4 linked regions of the Arabidopsis thaliana genome follow. The protein of the gene in region 1 interacts with the protein of each later gene in a pairwise test. Each region holds a gene or a part of one and is shown in the gene's direction. Other genes may lie near its edges. The genes, in order: MBD02, IAA10, HAT3.1 and AT5G28040.

Region 1 (5,516 bases):
TTAGGATTTAGGGACATTGAATGCTTTAATAAAGCCATGTTAGCAAAACAAGTGTGGCGAATACTTCAAGCACCATCATCCCTGCTCACTCGCCTCTTACGTGGAAGGTACTTTGAAACAACAAATATTCTGAATGCAAGAACCGGAGGAAGCCCTCTTTCATTTGGAGATCCATTCTAGAAGGACGAGACCTCCTGCAGCAAGGACTTCGAATCCTTATAGAAGATGGCAAACAGACAAACATATGGACTGATTCATGGCTTCCAACACACCCACCAAGACCACCTCAAAAACGTGATGCGACGGTCACCAATCATACACAAGTCAAGCACCTAATGCAAGATGGCAGAAACATGTGGAATAAAGAAGTAATAGAAGAACTCTTTGAAGCAGATGAAGCACGATTGATACAAGGTTAAGATTAAGATCACAACCGTCCCCTGATGTACTAGGCTGGAACTACACAAAGCATGGGGAATACACATTCAAATCAAGTTATTGGCTCTGTACACATCTACCGAATCAACAACATGATTATGTTCCCCCACCAGGTTTACCCGAGTTTAAGAGAGTAGTATGGAAGCTAGACACGACACCAAAACTAAAGCACTTCATGTGGCGGATAGTAACTCAATCATTGGCGACAGGCGAGGCCTTGACACGACGACATATCATTTCAGATTCACAGTGTAAACGATGTTGTGCAGCTCCTGAAACATTAGAACGCCTATTCTTTGGATGCCATTATGTTCAAGCTATTTGGAGGGGCTCTCCGGTGTCACATACAGCGTTTTTCAATCCACACTTACCTTTTGAAGATAAATTCAGATTAATCCTTCAATGCTGTACTGATACGAGACAAGACCATATCACAAGACAAATACCTTTATGGATGTTGTGGCACATATGGAAGAGCAGGAATTTGTTAGTTTACCAGCGAAAAGGGAGTAATTGGCAAGATGATGTACAAAAAGCGATAACAGACTCATATGAGTGGATTCCTCTGCAGCGAGACACACAACGACGAAGTCTAAATGACAGAAGCGGGCAAGGGTAGCAAAAACCTATTCACGGCTTTATCAAATGCAATTATGACTGCAGTTTCTCAAGGAATGATCTAGCACCAAAGGCTGGTTGGATTTTACGAATTGACACAGGCAGTTATCTACTTGCGGCTCAAGGTACAAGACAACTATGCAACTCAGTGCTAGAAGCGGAACTACAGGCTCTCTTGATGGCAATGCAACATACATGGAGTAGAGGATATCGAAAGATTATATTTGAAGGTGATAATAGGACTGTGGAAAGCTTACTCAATGGGAACACAAGGAATTTTGAACTTCATAACCTCGTCATGGAGATACAACATTGGCGGAAGAAGTTTTCTACTGCCATTATCAAATGGTCTTTCCGGTCAACTAACAAAGCAGCTGATCGATTAGCTAAAGTGGAGTTAGAAAACATTGTTACTTTTGTCTCTCATTCTTATGTACCTCTGTTTCTTGTACAAATCCTCCATAGGATTACACATCATCCCTCTAATAAAGTATATCTGTTAATGTTAAAAAAAAATAAAAAAAAAAGAATCGGTTATTTTCGGGTTTTAAACTTAAAAACCAAAGAAACCAATATCCGAATCGAACCGAACCGTAATAAATTTCGGTTAGTTTCGGAAGAATTTTCAAAAATCCAAAATAACCGAAACCCGAAATAACCGACTCGGTTCGGTTCGGTTTACCCGAAGTCGCAGGCCTAATATTTTATATCAACAATTGACATATATTTTGACCCAAAAAAAAAAAATCAACAATTGACATATATTTGTTTTTATTAAAGTTTAATTTACATATTATGGAAGTCTCAAAATATTTGTTAAACAATGGCAAATATTTGTTAGACATATTTCATCTATTTAGCATGCACAACACGAATCCATATCTAATATTAGAAAGAATTATCCTTTGATTCTTTTTTTCTGAAGGAAATTTTGATTAATGGTAAGATTTGTTTATAAGCCCAAAAGCACAAATATTCTCCTACTTATAGCATGATATATTTTGAAGTGAATGTAAATTAAGAATTATTTTCGTAACAACAAATTTTATATTTATACAAAATAAATTAAATTCAGTTTCTTTCTCTCTTCTCTTTCTCGGTTTCCCCATTTTCTATCTAGACAAAGAGTGTTGTCTGAATTGGCTCTGTCTCAAAAAATGAAATTCTCAAATTAACCACAACGATCTTTAGAGCCTTCTTCGCTCACCGATCTCTGAAACCCTGGTTTGCTCTCGTCCTCTTCGTGTAACGATTCTTCTTCTTGATAAATTTTTAATCTTTGTTTCGGCTTTTCGATGAAATTGTTTTTTTTTTGGATCTCGTCTCTATCAGCTCATGTTCTTCTTTGATTATATGATAATTGTTGTTTCCTTTGCTCTGTTTTATGATTATTGTTGATTTTTGAGATTGAAATGTTCGAGGGTTTCTACTGTTCACTGTTCTTTACACGTATCAATGTTTTCTTGATCATGTTCTCTTATGATGTTAATAGAGAGACTAGTGTTATTGTGATGAATGATTCTTGTTAACTAAATTTGTCATTTTTGTTTTCACTTGACATTCATTTCTCTAACCATTTATTATAGGTAGTTTCTATGAGTATGTCGCAGTCTCGAGCTGTCCAAAGATCGTCTTCACCTAATGAGGATAGAGGTGAGAATCAGTTAGTGGTTTATGACTTGAAAGGAAATGATGATACTGAAGAAGAAGTTCTACCGGTTCAATCTCAGCCTTTGTCATCTAGAACACAGTGTCCCTCTATCGGGGCATTTACGGTTCAGTGTGCAAGTTGTTTCAAATGGAGACTCATGCCTTCAATGCAGAAGTATGAAGAGATTAGGGAACAGCTTCTTGAAAACCCGTTTTTCTGCGATACAGCGCGTGAGTGGAAGCCGGATATTTCTTGTGATGTTCCTGCTGATATCTATCAAGATGGAACTCGTCTTTGGGCTATTGATAAACCGAATATCTCTCGTCCACCCGCTGGCTGGCAACGTTTACTGCGGATTAGAGGTGAAGGAGGTACCAGATTTGCTGATGTGTATGTCGTTCGTTAACTCTTCTCTCATTTATGTTAATATTAGTCTTTCTTCTTTATACCATTGTATTGGCTTTCTTTATCATTCTTTTATCTTGGTTGTTTCAGTTATTATGTTGCTCCGTCTGGAAAGAAGCTTCGATCAACTGTGGAGGTCCAAAAGTTAGTTTCTCTACCACTCCATTTCCACATTTTCGTTTTCACATTTAACAAAGTGTTCCTTACTTTTATGTTTGATGAGGTCTCACTGTATCAGTCTTACCATTTTCGTCAACCAATATATTGAATCAGTAGGAACCTCAAGTATTGTTCTGTGGTCATAACTAGAGTTAGGCACTTATGCAAATTACAGAAATCCTTGCATGTGTTTTGTTTACTAACGAAAATGTACTATGCCAAGAAGTTAGTTAAACTATCATCCTTATTTCCATGATACTTCCCTGCAGCATTTGAGAGTGACAACAATGGTAGGAGAAAAAAGCTTAGTGACTTACCAATTCGTTTAGTGATTACCAAATTGTTTTCAGTGACGTATAGCTAGCTTCTTTACACCCTTATAACCACTATTACTGGTTTGCAGGTACTTGAATGACAACTCCGAATACATTGGAGAAGGGGTGAAACTTTCACAGTTCTCGTTTCAAATCCCGAAACCGCTGCAGGATGACTACGTGAGGAAGCGCCCAGCTCGACTACTGGATTCCATCGATAATACAAACACCCCTGTAGCTAAAGAAGGTGTGTTGCTTATCAAGGCACATAAATATAATTGTGGTTATCTTTTGTATCAAGGCTTTAGATTATTGATGTCATTTTTTCAGTCAAGAGTGTATTTGACGTATACTCGAACCGAACATTGGTGTCTTTAGGGAACTTTATTAACATGAAAACGTCTATGCTTTTACAAGTTTCTAACATTTCGCTTGTCTTGTTATTTTTCAGCTAATCCACTGGCATGGATATCTCCAGATGATCATATATCGTTGCAGCTAGGTACGCCAACCGAGTCTGGACTTAACAATTCACATTACCAACCATCGAAAAAGAAAAAAACATCGACGCTATCAATCTTTGGCTCCAACGACGAACTTGCTGATAGATAATCTAGCTAGACGAGAGTGAACTTATCTCGTCTTCTCTGGTATATAACCCGTCTTCTTTCTTCGTTTTTTGGGTTTGTCTTATCGAAGAAACTGAAAGCATGTGGTTAGCTTGTTTTTTGTGTATACCATCTATTTTGTTTTGCAGTGTAACATACTTTCTATGAAGAAGATGGGTCCTTTTGGTTTTTGCTTCCAAATAACTGGATTTTCATGCTGAAAGTTTTTAAACCTAAAGTTTGATTATTACCAAATTCCATTATCTCACAAATCCACTAGAGGACTGACACAAGAAAGCAGATAAGAATAGATCAGAGTCTGTTTAACTGTAGATGTGCATGTTAAGTTGGAACGTAGTTTATCTCAAAGGATATTTTAACGACATCCAAAAGATAACATTCGAAAGTCAAAACCATCCTAGGGGAGATATGGCTGAAGCTATTAGTTTGGTAAACATACAACAACAAAACTATGCCATATCTCTAATCTGCGCAAAAGGCAGAAACAAAAACTAACAACAAATCTGCCTTCTACTATCCTGCTTCGTGCATTCCCTATTCAGTTTTCCCGTGGTTAAGCCGTATCATCGGAACCAAGTGATGGGAGTGGGAGTAGTACTGACTTGAGGAAGCTGCGGAATCATACAGTTTTGCGCTTGCTGCCACGGATGCAAGCCAAAACCATAGGTGTGCTCTTGCTCTTGCTGCTGTCCTTGCTGAGGGAAAGATAGACTGGTGCTTCCAGTATCCTCTTCTATCTCATTGGATGCATCATCCATTACCACATCCTCACCTGTCTCATCCAACTCAGTAATCTCTAGTGTCCGCGGTTGTTGGAAGGTTCCTATGGACTGTGAGTAAGTAGACTGAGACGGATTCCAGCAAACAACAGCTTGACACTTGTTTAATCTCTCATCTTCATACTGATTATCATCAGCTATCGATACATCGCGAAGAAATCTATCTGCACAAGTGTTAACATTCAGAATTTAGACACAACCGTCTGTATTTAGTCAACATTCTGGATCACAAGTTAAAGGCAAACAAACAAAACGAACCAGAACAAAATCTGACACTAAGACACAGCAAAATCCTCATAATATCTATGATAATTTCCCAGTTAACATGACAATCTGTTCAACATATAAAACTATATGAGCTCATACCATATAAACTAGATTATCTGCACTGTTTACTGAAACTTATGGAGATATCTCAAAATAAAGAAGATACTCTTAACTTATTGAGCTAAGACATTGTTGTGACATAGTAGTTTCTAAAGTTAACTTACAAGCCCTTTAACAATCATAGACTGAAACTTAT
Region 2 (5,142 bases), on another chromosome or scaffold:
TGGTAAACAAGTGATGAGATGCTACAAAGCTGACATATTTCCACCTTCCTGATTAATTAGGGTTTCGCGCGATCAGATAAGAATGTTGGGTTACAAATGTCTCCACTGGAACAATCTTATAGATTTACCGCCATTAAAGGACCCTGAAACCTTCTCTCTTCCTTCTTCCATTCCCCATTGGCCTCCAGGTAACTCCAATTCCATTCAATTCCCGACTTCTCTTGTCAACGATTTCGAATTCAAAAATTCTATTTCAATTTTAGGTTTCTTAAGCCTTGACAAAAGAGAGATTTTTATTTCTCGATTTTCCTCAATTTCGTGAAATTCAATTGGGTTTTTCAATCAGATCTCTATATCCACTAATCTAATTCGAACAATGGTCAATCAAATCTTTTGCGTTTTCAAAGAGGATTCTTTAAAGATTGCGTTTTGAAGAAATTTTTCAGCTGGGTCTCTTAGATTTTGTCTCTCCATCCTTTGAAAACTGATCAGGTCAAGGCTTTGGCTCTGGAACAATCAATCTCGGCAAATTACAAGTCATCAAAATCACGGATTTTGAATTTATATGGAGATACAGATCCACAGAGAAGAAGAAGAACATTTCATTTTACAAACCAAAGGGATTGTTACCTAAAGACTTCCATTGCTTAGGTCACTACTGTCAGTCTGATTCTCATCCTTTGAGAGGTTATGTACTTGCGGCAAGAGATTTAGTGGATTCATTAGAACAGGTAGAGAAACCTGCATTAGTGGAACCTGTTGATTTTACTCTTGTCTGGAGCTCAAATGATTCAGCAGAAAATGAATGTAGTAGTAAGAGCGAATGCGGTTACTTCTGGTTACCGCAGCCTCCTGAAGGGTATAGATCGATCGGTTTTGTGGTTACAAAGACTTCCGTGAAACCTGAGTTGAATGAAGTTAGATGTGTTAGAGCTGATCTTACTGATATATGTGAACCCCACAATGTCATTGTCACTGCTGTTTCAGAATCTTTAGGTGTTCCTTTGTTTATATGGAGAACTCGGCCTTCAGACCGAGGAATGTGGGGCAAAGGTGTCTCTGCAGGTACTTTCTTCTGCAGAACTCGGCTTGTTGCTGCTAGAGAAGATCTTGGTATCGGTATTGCTTGTCTAAAGAATCTAGATTTGAGTTTACATGCGATGCCAAATGTTGATCAGATTCAAGCTTTGATTCAACACTATGGTCCTACACTAGTCTTCCATCCTGGTGAAACTTACTTACCTTCTTCTGTTTCGTGGTTCTTCAAAAATGGTGCAGTTCTCTGCGAAAAGGGAAATCCAATCGAGGAACCTATCGATGAAAATGGTTCGAATTTGCCTCAAGGAGGAAGCAATGACAAGCAGTTTTGGATTGATTTGCCGTGTGATGATCAACAAAGAGATTTCGTCAAGCGAGGAAACCTTGAAAGCTCGAAACTTTACATTCATATTAAGCCTGCTCTTGGAGGAACGTTCACGGATCTTGTCTTCTGGATCTTCTGTCCATTTAACGGACCAGCAACCTTAAAACTAGGACTCGTCGATATCTCATTGATCAGTATTGGCCAACACGTCTGCGATTGGGAACATTTCACTCTCCGAATCAGCAATTTCTCTGGTGAGCTTTACTCAATCTACTTGTCTCAACACAGTGGCGGCGAGTGGATCGAAGCATACGACCTTGAAATCATTCCCGGAAGCAACAAAGCCGTTGTTTACTCTTCAAAACATGGTCACGCAAGCTTTCCTAGGGCTGGGACTTACTTACAGGGATCGACAATGCTTGGGATTGGGATAAGAAATGACACTGCGCGTAGTGAACTCTTGGTAGATTCGAGCTCACGGTACGAGATCATTGCAGCGGAGTATCTCAGCGGAAACAGTGTGTTGGCAGAACCGCCGTGGTTGCAGTACATGAGAGAATGGGGACCAAAGGTTGTGTACGATTCAAGAGAGGAGATAGAGAGATTGGTGAATCGATTTCCGAGGACGGTTAGGGTTTCGCTTGCCACAGTGCTTAGAAAACTTCCGGTGGAATTATCCGGCGAGGAAGGTCCTACAGGACCAAAGGAGAAGAACAATTGGTATGGCGATGAAAGATGTTGAAATTCTCACTGTTGGGAAACAGATGTGGTGAGATTACCATCGGAGCCCTAACTGTGTAACTTGTAAAGGAAGATGAAGCTTTGATTGCGCAAGAGATTAATTACACAATTAGCGTAGGATTAACGTAAAACTTGTCGTTAGAAGTGTATACAAGTGGGTCCCATCATGTATTTAATTAAAATAATAAAGTTATATAGACGAACAAACCTCCACCAAACGCAACGCACACATTCGTGTACCGTTTCCGATTTTTCGTTCCTCCAATTTCATTCTCTCTCTCTTTAAGAAAAATTCCTTGTTTTTGATCCGAGAATCGAAGTCGCCCTCGAATCAAGATTAAAACCTCGTTTAGTTCTCAATTTCAGTTCTGTGGATCCGTGCGTGACCTCAAGTTTTTTTTTTTTTTCTGTCTCGAAATTCAGAATCGTAGAGGTGTTGAAAGTTGAAACCTTTTTTTTGGTTTGCTTGGTTAATGGGTTTCTTCAAACTTGATCGATAATTGGATTTGAATCAAGGGTTTTAGTGTTCTTGCTTTGTGTATTCGTTTGGCAATTTGGGATAATGAATGGTTTGCAAGAAGTTTGTTCGTCAAGTGGGTCGGTGATGATCGGACTACCAGCTGAAGAAGACGAAAACGCCGCACATTCGTCGGAGGATTCATCTTGCCCCGACGAGTCAGTGTCAGAGACAGAGCTCGACCTAGCTTTGGGTCTTAGCATTGGTCGTCGGAAGGTTCGATCGTCTTTGTCTTCCTCGTCTTCTTCTCTGACCAGGGAAAGTGGGACCAAACGCTCTGCTGATTCTTCTCCGGCTGCCGCCTCAAACGCAACCAGGTAAAAAATTCATCTTCGAGACTTTATATTATAACCTATATGAATGATTGGTCTCAGATTGCTTATTGTTACAGAATCAAAGCAACTTAGAGGATAGAGCTTTTAGACCTTAAACTTTGAGAATGAATGAATCACAGGATTGAATCAAATAGAGTGTTCCCTGAAATGTTTAGTTAAACTTTTGAATCATATTGGTTTATACTTGTTCGTCTTTTGATTTAATATCTTTTGGTAATGGAGCAGACAAGTTGCTGTAGGTTGGCCGCCTCTACGGACTTACAGAATCAACAGTTTGGTCAATCAAGCAAAGTCTTTAGCTACGGAAGGCGGCTTGAGTTCTGGCATTCAAAAGGAGACTACAAAAAGTGTAGTGGTTGCTGCTAAGAACGATGATGCTTGCTTTATCAAATCGTCCAGGACTTCTATGCTTGTGAAGGTGACAATGGACGGAGTTATAATTGGAAGGAAGGTTGATCTCAATGCTCTGGATTCTTATGCAGCCTTAGAGAAAACTTTGGATCTAATGTTTTTCCAGATTCCTTCTCCTGTAACAAGTCAGTTACTAATTCTGTTTCATGAGATTCCATGTGATTCTGTTTTTCAAATTCTGTGTCTCTTGAAATTGACTGGTTTTGATTGATCGATTTGTAGGATCCAACACACAAGGATACAAGACAATTAAGGAAACATGTACTTCGAAATTACTGGATGGCTCATCGGAATATATCATAACATATCAAGATAAAGACGGAGATTGGATGCTTGTAGGAGATGTTCCTTGGCAGTAAGTGACTACCCTTATAACTTCCCATTCATCATCTGTATTTGTAATGTGGCACATCCATTTCAATGAAAACGATCTTTTCATCTTCTCAGGATGTTCCTCGGGTCTGTGACAAGACTGAGAATCATGAAGACATCAATTGGAGCTGGAGTAGGTAAGTAGAGAGTCCTATATAGCAAAAACAGTTTACATCTCTTTGGTCTGTAACTCATATATCACATTCACATATATACATGTGCATATGTTTATACATGAGTGTACATATGTCTTGTGGTCGTTTGTGAATATCAAACAACAGCTTAACCTTGTCTTTAAAGATCTTTGTATATTTAGGGTTTTTCACTCTATTGGTGCCTGATCCAATATACCACTATAACAACAAAGGCATGCATCTGGATTAGGGTTTAGTGATGAAATCAAGCTACAGTAATATGATAGAATCACCAGTAGTTTCATTCCCTGGAAAATGAAATACAGCTCTTGTGCGTACAATAACAACAATCAATCAGCTTCACGAGGTTTTCTTAGCATAAAAACCTAATAAACCTAACACAGTCTTGAAACAGAATGAAAAACGTTTTCCTTCATTGGCTCAGTTAGTCTTCAAGGTTACAGAGATTGGACTTCTAACTCGCTGCATCAGATTATGAGAGTTGACCCAAGTCAACTGCCCTTGTGCAAAGCTAGCCACCTTCCCTCCTCTGTTTTTCTTCTTCAATACAAACCATACTCTATAGCTCAGCGTCTGATCCACGTGTTTGAACACAAGTCTCTTAGGATTGACAATAACTTTGATCCCCTCTGGAGCCTTGACATTCACTGAGTATATCGAGTTAGGACTCCCAACGTTAGTGACACGCCTTGTGATCATCTCCGTAGTCTTGCCACGTTTGAAAATCACGGCTATCGACGGGTAATTGAGACTAAAACCCGGGTTTTTCCGCAATATTCCATTGCAGCTCACGTTCTTATGAGTGATTGCTAAAATATCTGATCTTGTGAATCCAAGAGTGCAGAGGTAAGTTATGTAATCCACTGGTTGAATGTTGTAAACCAATCCCGGGTTTATCGCCTTTTGCGGATTCACATGCCCTGCTCCAATCGCAAACACACCGGCTGGTTTGTTACCATCCTTTATCGCTTTCCCTTGACGATCGTACAAATCCGCTGTTGTCATCAATGCGGATTTGATTGCAGCTGGAGACCAGTTCGGGTATGCAGACCGGATAAGAGCAGTGATTCCGCTAACATGTGGACAAGACATTGAAGTTCCTGACATTACAGTGAAGTTAACTCTTCTTGAATCATAAGGAAGTCCGGTTGGTCCTAGATTTTGAGGCCAAGCCGCAATGATATTGACTCCCGGAGCAATCATATCCGGTTTTAGTATCGAAGGATTGGCTAAACTCGGTCCTCGAGC
Region 3 (7,233 bases), on another chromosome or scaffold:
GGCTCATCTTCTTTTCTGATTTTTGGTTTCTCAGATATACAGACCTAATGTATGGCATACCCCCGGATATTGATGCGTTTCATAATTTTATGGACAAACTCTCAGAAGACTTGCTGAATAAACTAGATATGGAGGGAATGTGCGAATTAGAAGATGATCAGGTTCAAGCACTTGTGGGTTCATCAGGACTTAAACAAGCACAAGACACGTTACCAGAAAGTAGGATTTTCTTACATGAAAATCCAAAAGTACCTTGTCTCTTTTGGAGGATACGAGAATCGGTAATATTCTATATAATAACCATCTACTTATTACCTTTTAAGAAATTATCAAGATTTACTTTTTTGTTTTTGTTGTAGACATTATTAAAATTGGTGACGTCCAAGTCATGGAAGAAATTCCTAGGTTTTATTAGAGACCAACTCTTTCACCTCATTTGTTGGGCTTATGCAGCCTCTGACTTAGTCAGTGCTACTAGAATTATGCGCAACTGGGAGGTAGAGTATATTCCTCTGTGTCCATGGTATCTTTGCTCCTTTTGTCGACCAGAGTATCTTGGAGAAGATGAAAATCCTGAGAAAGAAGATGATGAAAATCCTGAGAAAGGGCATTACTGTTATGGAAATGATATAGAGGATTGCCTACTATACATCAAACAGCATGGCATTCCTAGAGAGATCTGCAAGAAGTTTGACTGTAAGGACTGGCAGCCTCCAAATGCTGACGACCCACATATGCACACGACAAAATTAAAGAGTGTTCGAAAAATTGAATCAATGGAGGAGGCGTTGCTATTGCTTCCACATTTTCCCATAGGAGCGGACTTAGTTGTTTTTAAGGAATTGTGGACCGTAGGAGAGGAGATTTATTATGGTCCCGGAACAAATTCCAGAGGTTTCCGCTCATATCATGCAGTGATAGTATCCAGTATTGAGATCTATAAAGGAGAAGTGGTGGCCATCTGTAAGATGAGCAATGGTACTAAAGTTTGTGACGAAGGATATGTTAGGGTTTCTCTAGCGACAACATACATGGTTGTGGGTGCCAGTCCTAAAAAAAAAGAACATGTTCGGGCTACTTCTAAGCCGATGCATCTTCTCTCTGAATTCATCATCATAGATATAGATGAGAATGAGAAAGAGAAAGAAAGAGAGAGAGAGAAAGAAACTGAAAGCGAAGAGGAGAATCCAGAAGATAACCAGAAAGGGAATCCAGAACATAACCCGAAAGAGAAGTCCGAAGAGATGCAATATCCTGACTTTGGTGCTAGCAAGTTTCATAACTCCTTGAACGAGCACATCATGCCTGATTCTGACAAGGTACAGAGACGTGAATACCTGTGTATATCTCCTGTTTTACTCAAACCAACTATTTTGGTGTGGCACATGAATTTGAACGGAATCGGGACTCAGGGCCAATTTTTTTCATATTTTCCAACAGGATAAATACCTGATTCTGCACAATAGTTTCTTGGTTGTGTGATATTGTTCTTTCCATTATCGTGTTCTTCTTATTTTAGCCGTTTTCTGACATTTTTTCAATGATTCCAGAGCTTGGGCAATGTAAGTGGAGAAGAAATCAAGATGGTTACGGAAGGTTTGACAAGTTTGAGTAAATTTGGAGAGAAAGGTCCTCAAGAAAGAATGCACGAACCTGTAGAAATTGTTGAAAGGTAAGCTGATTTGGATCCAAAGTTGAATGTGAGTCTTTTGAATGTTTGTGACTTGTGATTCATGGTTGTATGTTTCCTTTTTGCTACGACAGAGGAAAACGGCCTGCAAATGAAGCCGGTAATGATGTGGGTACAAAGAAGGCCCGTACAGAGTCATCAGGTTGTGCACATGGGATTTGAGGGAATCACTTTCATGGCCTATTTTAGTAAAACAAGAGTATTTCTTTTGTCTATTAGCCAGGTACAAGTTTTTGTTGGCTTTTTAAGGCTCCTTAACATGTCACGGGACGAAAAAGAGAGAAACAAAACAACAATACCAAGACATTGATATGCAAATGGGCCTCATAAGTAGACCCATTAAGAATATAATGCATAATGAAGCCCAAATTACGCCGTTTCTCCGTTCCCTTTGTCTTCTGAGCGACCTTGCAAGGCTCTCTCTTCTTTTTTTCTTCTTCTTCTCAACTCACCCACCGAGTTTCTTCTCAATTCTCGCGGGACATTTCGCGGGCGAGGGAAAAAGGTAAAATTTTTGGCGGATAGAGAGATCGAAAAAGCTTAACATTTAGTGTCTGGGTTGTTTTCTTATCTCGTAGAAATTTAGAAAATTCAATACTCAGCTTAGCAATACCCAAATCTAACCTCGTTATAGCTAAGATTACTTTATCGCGTTTTTTCTTCTCTTGTGCTCATCGAAAACCATATCAAGGGTCGATCTGTGTTTTTTGTCTGATGTTCTTGTTTAAGATCTCTGTCAAGCACGTAAGTAGCTTAGGAACTAGACGAAGCAATCGCAGAAATATTTACCAAGCTCCCATTTTTCTTTTGTGGGTTTTTCTCTTGTGTTTGCTCATATTGATTCTGATCTGATATACGTGTGTTTTGCTTCTTTGTTTGATTATATAGGAATCTACAAGTATTTAAACCTTTGCTGATTTAGAAACGCCTGAGTGCATCATCTTCGAGGATAGCAGTATAAACATAGCTAGTTGATTGTAGAGAATGTATAAAGCAGTAAGTAAGCGGGTAACTAGAAGTAGTGGATCTGGTTTGAAGCAGACAAATGTAGATAATGGAGGAGAGATTAGTCCAACTGTTGACAGAGTATCTGAACAAGGCAAATCATCAGAGGCAGGGAGTCACATGCCAACTGATGCAAACGGAAATGGACATTTGCATCATGAGATTATGGATCATGGAAAGGGGAATGAAGAACAGAAACCAACCCCTCAAACCGTGAAGAAGGATTCTAATACCAATACCAAATTTTCAGGGTCTCATCGTGAGCTTGTCATCGGTCTTCCTTGCCGTGGACAATTTGAAATCCACAACCGGTCCAGGGCATCTACGAGTTCGAAGAGGTTAGGAGGAGGTGGAGAAAGGAATGTGTTGTTTGCAAGTCACAAGAGAGCTCAGAGATCTAAGGAAGATGCTGGACCATCTTCGGTTGTTGCTAATTCCACACCTGTAGGTCGACCAAAGAAAAAGAATAAGACTATGAACAAAGGACAAGTTAGAGAAGATGATGAGTACACAAGAATCAAAAAGAAACTTCGATACTTTCTAAACCGGATTAACTATGAGCAAAGCCTAATTGACGCCTATTCGTTAGAAGGCTGGAAAGGTTCAAGGTTTGTCTCTTGATGACATTTGTTTTCCCTCTTATTCATGCATTATTTGAGAGTTATAGGTATCCTCTGTGAGATATATTTCTGATCTCACTCAGTCTTGTTGATTATGTGTTCTTTGTAGCCTGGAAAAGATAAGGCCAGAGAAAGAGCTTGAACGAGCCACAAAGGAAATTTTGCGGCGCAAGCTTAAAATTAGAGATCTTTTTCAGCACCTTGACACACTCTGTGCTGAAGGAAGCCTTCCAGAGTCTTTATTTGATACTGATGGAGAGATTTCTAGCGAGGATGTAAGAGAATATTGTTCTGAACTCAACCTTTGTTCCCTTGTTTATCCTGATAGAACCAGTTTGTGTCTCTAGAAGTATTGATAATACGAGCAGTTGTTTAATCGCAGATCTTCTGTGCAAAATGTGGTTCAAAGGACTTGTCTGTTGATAATGATATCATACTATGCGATGGGTTTTGCGATCGAGGCTTTCACCAATACTGTCTTGAACCACCTCTGCGGAAAGAAGATAGTAATATTCTCTGCCTACGTACTTGGTAGTGTTTTAAGCAGTTCTTGCTGGTATCTACAGCTGTCTTTTTTGTTGGTTTTAATTTTTGTAGTTCCTCCGGATGATGAGGGTTGGCTATGCCCCGGATGTGATTGCAAAGATGACAGCTTGGACTTGCTTAATGATTCTTTAGGGACAAAATTTTCGGTCAGCGACAGTTGGGAGGTATATAACTATATATGTTGAGGTTTTTATTGTTAAAGAGGAGAAAACACTTAAAAACACACCTGCCTTGAACTTTTGTGTAGAAAATATTTCCTGAGGCAGCAGCAGCGCTGGTTGGTGGAGGTCAAAATCTTGACTGTGATCTTCCTTCAGATGATTCTGATGATGAAGAGTATGATCCAGATTGTTTGAATGATAATGAAAATGATGAAGATGGCAGTGATGACAATGAAGAATCTGAGAACGAAGATGGTAGTTCTGATGAAACTGAATTCACATCTGCATCTGACGAAATGATTGAGTCATTTAAAGAAGGGAAAGATATAATGAAAGATGTAATGGCCCTTCCATCTGATGATTCTGAGGATGATGACTATGATCCTGATGCCCCGACTTGTGATGATGATAAAGAAAGTTCAAATTCTGATTGTACATCAGACACTGAAGATCTTGAAACTTCCTTCAAAGGAGATGAGACTAATCAGCAAGCTGAAGATACACCACTTGAGGATCCTGGCAGACAGACGTCTCAGCTCCAAGGTGATGCAATTTTAGAGTCAGATGTTGGGCTTGATGATGGTCCTGCCGGTGTATCCAGAAGGAGGAATGTTGAAAGGCTGGATTACAAAAAGTTGTATGATGTGAGTGATCTCTCTTTTTCTTGATAATCGATTTCTATCTGGCTTTGGAAAAACCTCTGAATGGTATTTTTCTTCTATGTGCAGGAGGAATATGACAATGTTCCGACTTCGTCAAGTGATGATGACGATTGGGATAAAACTGCAAGAATGGGAAAAGAAGATTCCGAGTCGGAAGATGAAGGGGACACTGTACCTCTGAAACAGTCTTCAAATGCAGAAGATCATACTTCTAAGAAACTTATACGGAAGTCGAAAAGGGCAGATAAAAAGGATACCTTAGAAATGCCACAAGAAGGTCCTGGAGAAAATGGTGGTTCTGGTGAAATTGAAAAAAGCAGCTCTTCAGCATGTAAACAGACAGATCCCAAAACTCAGGTAAAAAGATATAGCTGTCTTGAGGCTTTAAGGTGCCAATCTTACATTATTATGAGGGAGGGAGCAATGGATTGAAAGGATCCCTCTTTTATGCAGAGACTGTACATATCTTTTCAAGAGAATCAATATCCAGACAAAGCCACGAAGGAGAGCTTAGCCAAAGAGCTACAAATGACAGTTAAGCAAGTAAGAAGTTTCTCCTAGTAAATTGTTTGTTTAGTTCTCCCTTTTAGTCGACCTAGTTTCATCTCTGCTAAGAACTGATTATGTTCTGTAGGTTAATAACTGGTTTAAGCATAGGCGTTGGTCGATAAACAGCAAACCTTTAGTTTCAGAGGAAAATGTCGAGAAGTTAAAAACAGGCAAGGAAGGTGAATGTGAGACATCTGTTGCTGGAAGTAGCAAACAAACTATGGAAACCGAGTCAGTTGCAGAGAAACCAACCAATACTGGATCACGGAAAAGAAGAAGAAAGTAGACTTTAGATTCAATCATGAAGGTTTTAGATCTAATGCAAGGACAATACTGGAACACATACTTACCCAAACCCCGAGATATGAAGACACCAAACCCTGCAAAGCATCGGGTTTGTTCAGTTCTTTGTTTCACATTTTTGGGGTACTTTGAAGACCTTGAAATTTGAGGCAAAAGAAAGAAAGAAAGATTTTCTTCGAAATTGGATGATAGGTTCATTTTTAACAGTTAAAGAAGTTAAGGCTTTGTGTTATGATTATGAAAGTTTTTGTTTATTTCCATCTGGAGAGATGTTTTGAGTTATGGTTTCTGTAATCGATAGAGACCGGTTTAAGAGATCAAGAGATTTAAACTTTAAAAGTCTTGTTTGAACCGGTTTTAAACCCTCAAATGTGAACGTTTAACCGGTCTGTAATTGCTTATTATTAAAGGCCCATTAAGAGCCCATGGATGTTTATGATACAGTATTAGAGTCCTAGAATTGGGTAACGTGTTGCAGAAGGTAAACGAAAATGAAGAAGGTGCTGAGAGTATACGGCGGCGTTATGAGGCTGGTGAGACTTTTGCCGGCGGATTCAAGGCCGTATTACGCCAAGTACGCCAGGGAGAATTTCGTTAATTACCGTGAAGTCGATCAAAGCGAAACATCCCTCGACGAACTCTTCCAGCGAGCCTATAATCACTCACTTTGGGTACTCAAGAAGGTAACAAAGATTCTGGGTTTCTTTTAAATCTAGGTACCCTTTGTGTTAACTGTCTGTTCTCAATCATTTGCAGTACTCAATTGACGAATCAGCAGCGACGAAGTTGAAAGAGATTTGTTTTGAATAATAACGCACACCAAGTGTTCGACGTTATGTCCCTGAGAGTGTTGGAACAAGTTTGGACGATTTGTTAAATGGGTACCATCAGTTTTCTACTTTTGATAGCTATATCAAGAACAGGGGTTGTTCATGTGTCTTTGTCTTTCCTTTTTAGTTGTCTTGACTTTCTGTGATTGACTGCTGAATTGGTCGTTGTCTTGTTTGAGTAGCTAGCTTCTTGTTTGTTTCCATGATCCTGAATAAAATTGTTACATTCTTAGATTCGAAAACATCACATTACTTAATCTCATCTTTGGTAATGAAAGAAACTCATCAGAGCAAAGTAGAAGTGGCAGTTAAGTAATAACGAGAGAGAAAGATTAGGGATTGTTTGGGTAATTAAAGTGATATATATGTAGCTAAGGGACAATAAACAGTAGCTAAGAGTTTAGGTCCTTGTCGAAAACTCGAAAATCTTATATGAAACCAACCTAACCAAAACCAAAGTCTTTTTGAGATTGTTTTTGCTTCTGGAGTTAAAAGTAGAAGCTAGAGAGAAAAGTTGGACTACTTAATAATCTTTATGATTTTTTTTTGACCTTTCCTCTTATGGATTTATTTTAGTGGTTTGCCAACTTGTGGAGTTCACTTTCTTCTTACCACACACGTGTTTGCAGAGTCTTTGCACGTGTCAAACCTGGTACATGTCAGTTAGTAAAAATTTAGTTTAATTTAGTAGTTGTAGTTTCATGTGACTGTATGTTCATAACTATATGATAAACATGATAGTGGTAATCTAAAAAATATTTGTATGGTTTGGTAATAATGGTTTTATTGAATAAATGAATAATGAGTACTAGTTCGATATTGAATACGTGTGTGACACTCATTTATTATTTTGTCTAACTTCTAGAA
Region 4 (6,724 bases), 3.5 Mb from region 1:
TGTTATGGCCTCAACGTAACTATTGTGCAGCATCTGATCAACAAAATTTACATGCTTGAACTTCAACTTAAGGTTTTTGGGCGTATAATGTAACCCTTTTATCTCAACAAAGTGAGATATAAATTAGAAATCCATAACCATCTTAATGTAATCTTCTACTCTTCGTTATTCCAATATTTCCAAAGGACTAAAAGACTGGAACAACAAAGCCACATGCGTTCGATTAAGACAGCGAAATAAATCTTTGTTAAAGTTGGTAAGATTTTCATAGTCTTCTACTCTATGAACAATAAGATCAACTACTTTGAATCTTGATGCATTGATCTAGTTAGCAAAATTAAAAAACAAATATGAATTCATTTCTAAAACACTCCAAATAAAAGCAATAACTATACATTAATATAACTCTACAACTTCATTTGCAACACCAAGTTTGTAAGGTAGAGAACAAAGTCTCTCCAGAATAGTCCTTTCATTAACCAAAATGATTTCGCGCTAAGGAGGTTATCTATGGCTCCTTTTGGAGTAAAGTGGTCCTTGTTAACTCCATTGAATAGGTACTAGATTCATAAGGATTCATTATTAACAATATATCCCAAAGTTCTTCCTACTCATGTGAATTGGTTAGAGAGCCCAATAGTCCAACAATTATCGATTTGTTGGTGCAAAACCTCATCGAGAAGACGTAGAGCTGAGATAATTACCTATTATGAAGCACCAAATTTGTTTAGTAGTCATCACCAAAACTATAATTCTAAATCTAAACCTAGAGAAATAGAAAATTTAGCGACATAAGGAGAAATTTACTAACTTGCATAGTCAAGAATGAGAAGCCATTAACACCAAACATATATATATATATATATATAAAGCATGTGTAACATAATAAAAAACCCTGAAACAAAATCAAGAGAGCGATAAAAAGAAAAGCATACTTTTGGTTCTTTTCCACCACTTCAAAGCTATAGAGATTCAAAATCGAGTTTAAAGCATAGCTATAGAAATTCATAGATTGAGAGTCAGATTTACCACAACACCAAGCCAAATTTCAATGCATAATGAGGAAGTTGGTTAAAGCGTACTTCAAAGCAATAAGGATTTAGAGAGCCGAGTTTCTTGAAAAAGCAGTATATATAAGATTTGTAACCAGCGATTTTGATCAAGTAAAGAGTTTCTTGATTTTGGTCAAGTAATGGTTCTAACATAACATATGTATAAGATCTCTAACCCGCGAGAAAAACAAATAGATCTTATGTAATTTGACTTGTTTATTCTTAATGAGGTGAATTAATTTGGACTTTGAAATTATACTTCTAATGGCATTGGTTAGTAATACTTTAGAAAAGGCAATGTGAATTTTCTAAAGGTACTTTCCTTATATTAGTATAAAGATATTTTTTTCATGAACTAAATGCATGGAGTAATAACATTTAACTATGAAATTTATTTATTTTGAATAATTATGTAGAATGTTATATATGATTTTAATTATTAATTATATTTAAATTATGTTACATTTTATTATTATAATAAAAAATATTTGGTGTAATTATACTTTCTATAATTATTAATTATATTTATTTGGTTTAATTTCGTTCAAACCGGCTGGTTAATCATTCATAAAATTTCTGTAAATGCACCAATTTTCAAAAGCTAACCATATCATTGAAAAATATTTCATAATGTTTAAAATCACAACCGTCCGTTTTACAAACTCTCGCAAGTCATACAATATCCACTGCGTTTAAACCAGTCATACCTAAAAATAGCCATTGGGTGTTACAACAAATGAAGTGAGCGGTTAAAAATTAAAACAAGCCGATTGTAAGCCACATGAAAAATCTGTGAGTTTACCAATTGTTTTGATACTGTATTAGTTTTTTCAATATAACTTTATTTGTATTGTTCTATTAAGAGATTATTAATAGTAAAAGTAATTTTATATGTTATCTAATCTCTTATATTCCTTCCTTATAACAATTTTTTTCAATTTAAAGTAACCACCTTTTTTCATTGTTATGTCATCGCATTTTCTCTAATCGCTTTTTCTATAATCTCTAAAAACATTCTTAACCGTCATAAACAACAGTCACCAATCACAACACCCGTTAATATGGGACGTTGAAGAAACGCAACAGTACACAGAATAACAAAATCAAGTTTGTCGAACGCTTTTCTGTTTCGCCGCGGTTGCGGTAGACCATTGACTTTAAACACATGATCACGCTTCAACTAAAACCGCAACAACCCAAACAAAGCACGGGTAAAAGAAACAAACACTGGACCACTTGCCTGCAACCGCAACACCCTTAGTCATAATTACAACTCTTAAAATCCCGAAACTACCCCTACTCATCTCCAATATTCTCCATACCCTACCACCACCCAAAAAACAAACCCGTATCAATCCTCGTGAACCCAATTCCTTCTTTCTGGATCTGATTCGATCTACCAGAAAAATTTCTCTCTCGCTACGTTTTTCTCATGGCATCGGATCAACGTGACACTGATTTCTCCGCTGAATCACCAGATCTAGAAGAAGACGGCGGCGGTGGCGGTGGCGGAAGAGGAGGAGGAGAAACTGAATCCGACGAAGATGTTGTTATACCCGAACCAAACGAAGCCGAAGACGACGATCACGATCCCGATCCCGATCCAGAATACGAAGATCTGAATTCTCCGTCAATGATTTCCAGAGCTCCGGCGACGAAATCATCCTCAGGAACCGTAACCGTCGCTCTTCCCGCTGGATCCGCCGTACCTGTAGCTTCAATTCCATCAGATTCCGATCAGAAATGGCACCGTATGACTGAAATCGTTCATCAGAGACCACCGATTGATGATTCACGACGTTTATTCCAGAGACTATGGACTGACGAAGACGAGATCGAGCTTCTCCGTGGCTTTCTCGATTACATCACAAACCACCGTGGTAACAGCTCTCATCCGCCTGATACGGCGCCGTTTTATGAACAGATTAAATCTAAGCTACAGTTAGAGTTTAATAAGAATCAGCTTGTGGAGAAGCTAAGGAGGTTGAAGAAGAAGTATAGGAATGTTATGAGTAAGTTTAGTTCTGGTAAAGAAGTGTTCTTTAAAAGTCCTCATGATCAAGCTACTTTTGATATCTCTAGGAAGATTTGGAATCAAACTGGGAAAATTATTGGTTTTGAAGATAATAATGTGATGGATTTAGAAGAAACTAATCATGTAAATAACGCGAATGGTAGCTCGGGTTTTAATGTCTCTGTTATCGGTAATGCGAATGTCGATGTTGATTCGGAGAATGGTTTAGAGAAGAAAGTGACGATAAGTAGAAAACGATCACGGTCTAGGATCGGGAAGATCGACGAGGATAAGCCTGTTCTTGCTCCGTGTGACGGGGTGATACCGAATGCGGTTAATCTTAACGAGAATGTGGCTGTTGGTTGTGATTTTGGTGATGGGAGGAATCTTGGAGTGTTGATTGAAGAGACGGTTAAGAATTGTGTATCGCCCATGATTAAGGAGATGATGAATAGTACGACGGGTATGATGATGGCTGCAACGGGTGGGTTTCCTGGAGGTGGTGCTCATGCTCTCGGTGTGTTGAGTCCGATGCTAATGCCGTCGATGAATTTAGGGTTTGGTGGTAAGGGAGTAGGGGACGAACGGTGGAGGAGACAACAGATTCTTGAGCTGGAAGTGTATTCGAGGAGATTAGAATTGGTTCAAGAACAGATTAGAGCCACGGTGAATGAGTTAAAGACAATGCCTAATGGAGGATGATGCATAAGGAAAGACTACAATGGGTTCTTTAAGTTATGAGAAAATGATGAAGAAAGATTATGATGGTGAGGTATAGTATTAGCAAAAGTAATAATCTTAATGAAAATTTCTGATGGTGATGAAATCTTTTTTAGGGTTTTAGTATTTTTTTTTCTTGATTGAATCTTTTTTTAATTTTGTCGATTAGGAGTGAATAACCTTTGTTCTTAGCTGATAAATTATAGTTTTTGGTAGAGTTCAAAAAAAAAAAAAAACTCTTTTGTGCTATTTATAATGTTTTTTTGTGTGATGCATATAATATGATATTATACATCTAATGATTAATGAACATTAACATGTATTCTTTTGGAGTTTGATCTATGTATTCCGAAGACGTGTCAAGTGTAGAATCTTTGGTGTTATGTCTTCTCTTCGTTACCTGTTGAAGTTATTATTATAACTCTTTGATATATCTACATATACATTTTTGGGGACGATTTGTGTCGAAAAATCCTTTTTCAATTTCGATATTGTATGGTTAGTCCCTACAAAATCAATCAGACAAAATATTTTCTTTAGGACAATAACCAAATTTTTGATAAACAATTAAGATATTGCACTAACTACTTGCCTAAACATGGATATTGTTAACTACTACCCTCATAAATTGCACAAATCAATCCCTAAAACTATACGAAATTCATTATGCTAATTTCCTAATTAACAAAACCCGGAAATCAATCATAACTAACCATATCTACAATTATTTGATTCGAAAATAATTTTAGTTTTAAATGCTAATGATATCTTACCAAAATTTATTCTTCTTTTATCAATTGCAACACAAAATCTAATTTCTGTTACCTCAAATAAACACACAATATACTAGAGAAATCTGTATTTCCGTTCTTAATTGGCTTTACGCCTAAAAATATTTAAACAATATTTAGTTTTTGATTTGAAAATATATAAATCGTATATGTAGTTATAACAAACAACTATTTTCAAATCAAATGGTTTCCTATTTGAATTCTAGAAAAAACTGTAATAATATTTTAATGTCATATCTAAAAACATAAATGTGATCGATTTCTTTCCTACAAAAATGGTAATCTTTAGCATCTTCCATAACTAATTTATATTTTTTCAAATTTTGAGTTCAATTTTTCGTTAATTTTCGTCAATCATTGTTAATATATCTTTTGGCAAAATTTCCCTACAAAAAAGGTAACCACATTAACACTTGGGTATTGTTTTTTGTTTAGATTTGTAAACTAATAACAAGCATATATTCTCAAGATATTTGAATATCAGAATATTACCTAAATTAAAATATCTAGAACATTCTAACGTCTAAATGATCCACTATAAATAACCATCTCATATCGAACAATTACCACAACCACAATTTGCCTCAGTCTAAATGATCCCTCCGAATTCTCATATAGCAAGGTATTTCTTATGCATAGCTCTAGAAATGTTTTGCTATACAGAATATTTATCAGTGCTTGTGTGACGAATTTAATAGATTGAGTTTGTGATTTTGTTGTTTGTATAGCTTTATGAGCAAGCTATTGAGTATGAGAAAGGTTCGTTAATCACTTCTAATGGAGCTTTGACGATGCTTTCTGGTGCTAAGACTGATCGAGAGATAAGCGTGTTGTTAGAGATGCGATTACTGAAGATGAGCTTGAGCTTTGGTGAGGAAAGTGAGTATTCTTAATTCTTATCTCCATTTTGATTGACAGAGTTTTTATCCTCTATTTTGGTTTATTGATTTTGGCTTTTGATTTTCATTTTAATTTTAAGGGTTTGTCTAAAATTGAAATCGATGAACATACTTTTATTGTGGTGAACAGAGAAAGAGCTGTTGATTACTTGAATTCTTTGGAAAAGGTTTACCTTATGCCTAAGCGTTAGATTCTCTCCCATCATTCTAGATGCAATATGGGAAAAGATGGAGATGTTGCCCTCTTCTTTGAACTTTTAGGTATTGCAACTTTTTAAGCCGACGTGAACGCTGAAAAAGGAGAAACGCCGAGGTGAATGCTGAGAGAAGATTCCGCTTGCGCAACCATCGGCGGAGAGAAAGAGAAACAAAACCTTTCTTCTTCTTTTTTTTTTTTTTTTTTCTATTTTTGCTTAGGAAATTTTTTTTAACGTTTCTCTAATTAGTGGTTTTGGGGTTTAGATGTAAAGAATCTTTTCTATTTAGATGTTTTGGCACAAAAAAAAGGAAGAAAAAAACTATAATTTTGTAATTTATTTTATTTTAGTTTATGATTAAGGGAAATTGAAAAAAAAGATCCTCTATATCCAAATCTCTCAAAGAACTTTCTTATTTTTAGATTCTCCCAAAGAACTTTTTTTTAATTTTAGTTTATAATTTTATTTAGTTTTCAAATTTCATTTTATTTTACACCACGGGTTAAATCCTATACCATATTTTTTGTTTGGACGATCTTTAAGTTATCTTACAATTTAGTTAAACTTACTTAGTTTTGAACTTTATGATAGTAACTTAATAACATTCATCTTATTCATATAAATATTTAGCTATATAGTAAATGCCGAATAATACTATAAGAGCTACATCTTATTAAATATCATATACTTTATAGTTTACAAAATCATAAATTTATAAATTATAAAATAAATGGAAAAGAATCAACCCGCAGTGTACCTCTTAATAAGTTGGTATTTATAATATTTAGAATCTATAAATTTTTTATAATATTAATAATATTTGAACTCTAGAATTTTTTTTTTTATATTGTAAAAACCATTTGAAATTAAATTACTTTTTTAATTTAATATCATCTATATTAGTTAAGAACGCACGTAATAACTCATCATAAAAAAAACATGTATATAAGTATTAGTTAAGAAAACTATTTTAAGCCAAATACGTTCATTTTTAACAAAAAAATACTATATAACAAACACATAATAACGTACCATAAAAATACACTCTCTA

What was found.
Region 2: the proteins of MBD02 (region 1) and IAA10 interact in binary tests that used the Arabidopsis thaliana proteins (3 or more experiments, as listed by UniProt).
Region 3: the proteins of MBD02 (region 1) and HAT3.1 interact in binary tests that used the Arabidopsis thaliana proteins (3 or more experiments, as listed by UniProt).
Region 4: the proteins of MBD02 (region 1) and AT5G28040 interact in binary tests that used the Arabidopsis thaliana proteins (3 or more experiments, as listed by UniProt).

Annotation. Positions count from the first base shown.
Region 1 is NC_003076.8:13,522,406-13,527,921, reverse strand, and holds MBD02 (methyl-CPG-binding domain protein 02), read left to right. Parts: upstream 1-2,123; 5' UTR 2,124-2,301; exon of another isoform or gene 2,302-2,646; 5' UTR 2,647-2,651; coding exon 2,652-3,097; intron 3,098-3,202; coding exon 3,203-3,256; intron 3,257-3,674; coding exon 3,675-3,832; intron 3,833-4,036; coding exon 4,037-4,197; 3' UTR 4,198-4,519; downstream 4,520-5,516. Other genes in the region: AT5G35320 (DBH-like monooxygenase), read right to left, coding at 4,778-5,157. UniProt on the Arabidopsis thaliana protein: Probable transcriptional regulator.
Region 2 is NC_003070.9:1,057,143-1,062,284, forward strand, and holds IAA10 (indoleacetic acid-induced protein 10), read left to right. Parts: upstream 1-2,327; 5' UTR 2,328-2,587; coding exon of another isoform or gene 2,588-2,666; coding exon 2,667-2,938; intron 2,939-3,140; coding exon of another isoform or gene 3,141-3,181; coding exon 3,182-3,492; intron 3,493-3,589; coding exon 3,590-3,722; intron 3,723-3,814; coding exon 3,815-3,884; 3' UTR 3,885-4,067; downstream 4,068-5,142. Other genes in the region: AT1G04090 (vacuolar sorting-associated protein (DUF946)), read left to right, coding at 83-188, 493-2,105; SDD1 (Subtilase family protein), read right to left, coding at 4,315-5,142. UniProt on the Arabidopsis thaliana protein: Aux/IAA proteins are short-lived transcriptional factors that function as repressors of early auxin response genes at low auxin concentrations.
Region 3 is NC_003074.8:6,761,491-6,768,723, reverse strand, and holds HAT3.1 (Homeodomain-like protein with RING/FYVE/PHD-type zinc finger domain-containing protein), read left to right. Parts: upstream 1-2,126; 5' UTR 2,127-2,195; intron 2,196-2,244; exon of another isoform or gene 2,245-2,434; intron 2,435-2,578; 5' UTR 2,579-2,674; coding exon 2,675-3,303; intron 3,304-3,424; coding exon 3,425-3,590; intron 3,591-3,697; coding exon 3,698-3,821; intron 3,822-3,912; coding exon 3,913-4,025; intron 4,026-4,108; coding exon 4,109-4,666; intron 4,667-4,750; coding exon 4,751-5,041; intron 5,042-5,137; coding exon 5,138-5,227; intron 5,228-5,318; coding exon 5,319-5,519; 3' UTR 5,520-5,963; downstream 5,964-7,233. Other genes in the region: AT3G19515 (apoptosis inhibitor), read left to right, coding at 35-281, 360-1,319, 1,551-1,672, 1,765-1,852; AT3G19508 (complex 1 protein, LYR family protein), read left to right, coding at 6,028-6,219, 6,293-6,346. UniProt on the Arabidopsis thaliana protein: Binds only to large DNA fragments. Recognizes a DNA fragment carrying 8 copies of box7 motif of the light-induced cab-E promoter of Nicotiana plumbaginifolia. Also recognizes the box7m1 motif.
Region 4 is NC_003076.8:10,034,698-10,041,421, reverse strand, and holds AT5G28040 (DNA-binding storekeeper protein-related transcriptional regulator), read left to right. Parts: upstream 1-2,420; 5' UTR 2,421-2,484; coding exon 2,485-3,768; 3' UTR 3,769-3,838; exon of another isoform or gene 3,839-4,385; intron 4,386-5,305; 3' UTR 5,306-5,879; downstream 5,880-6,724.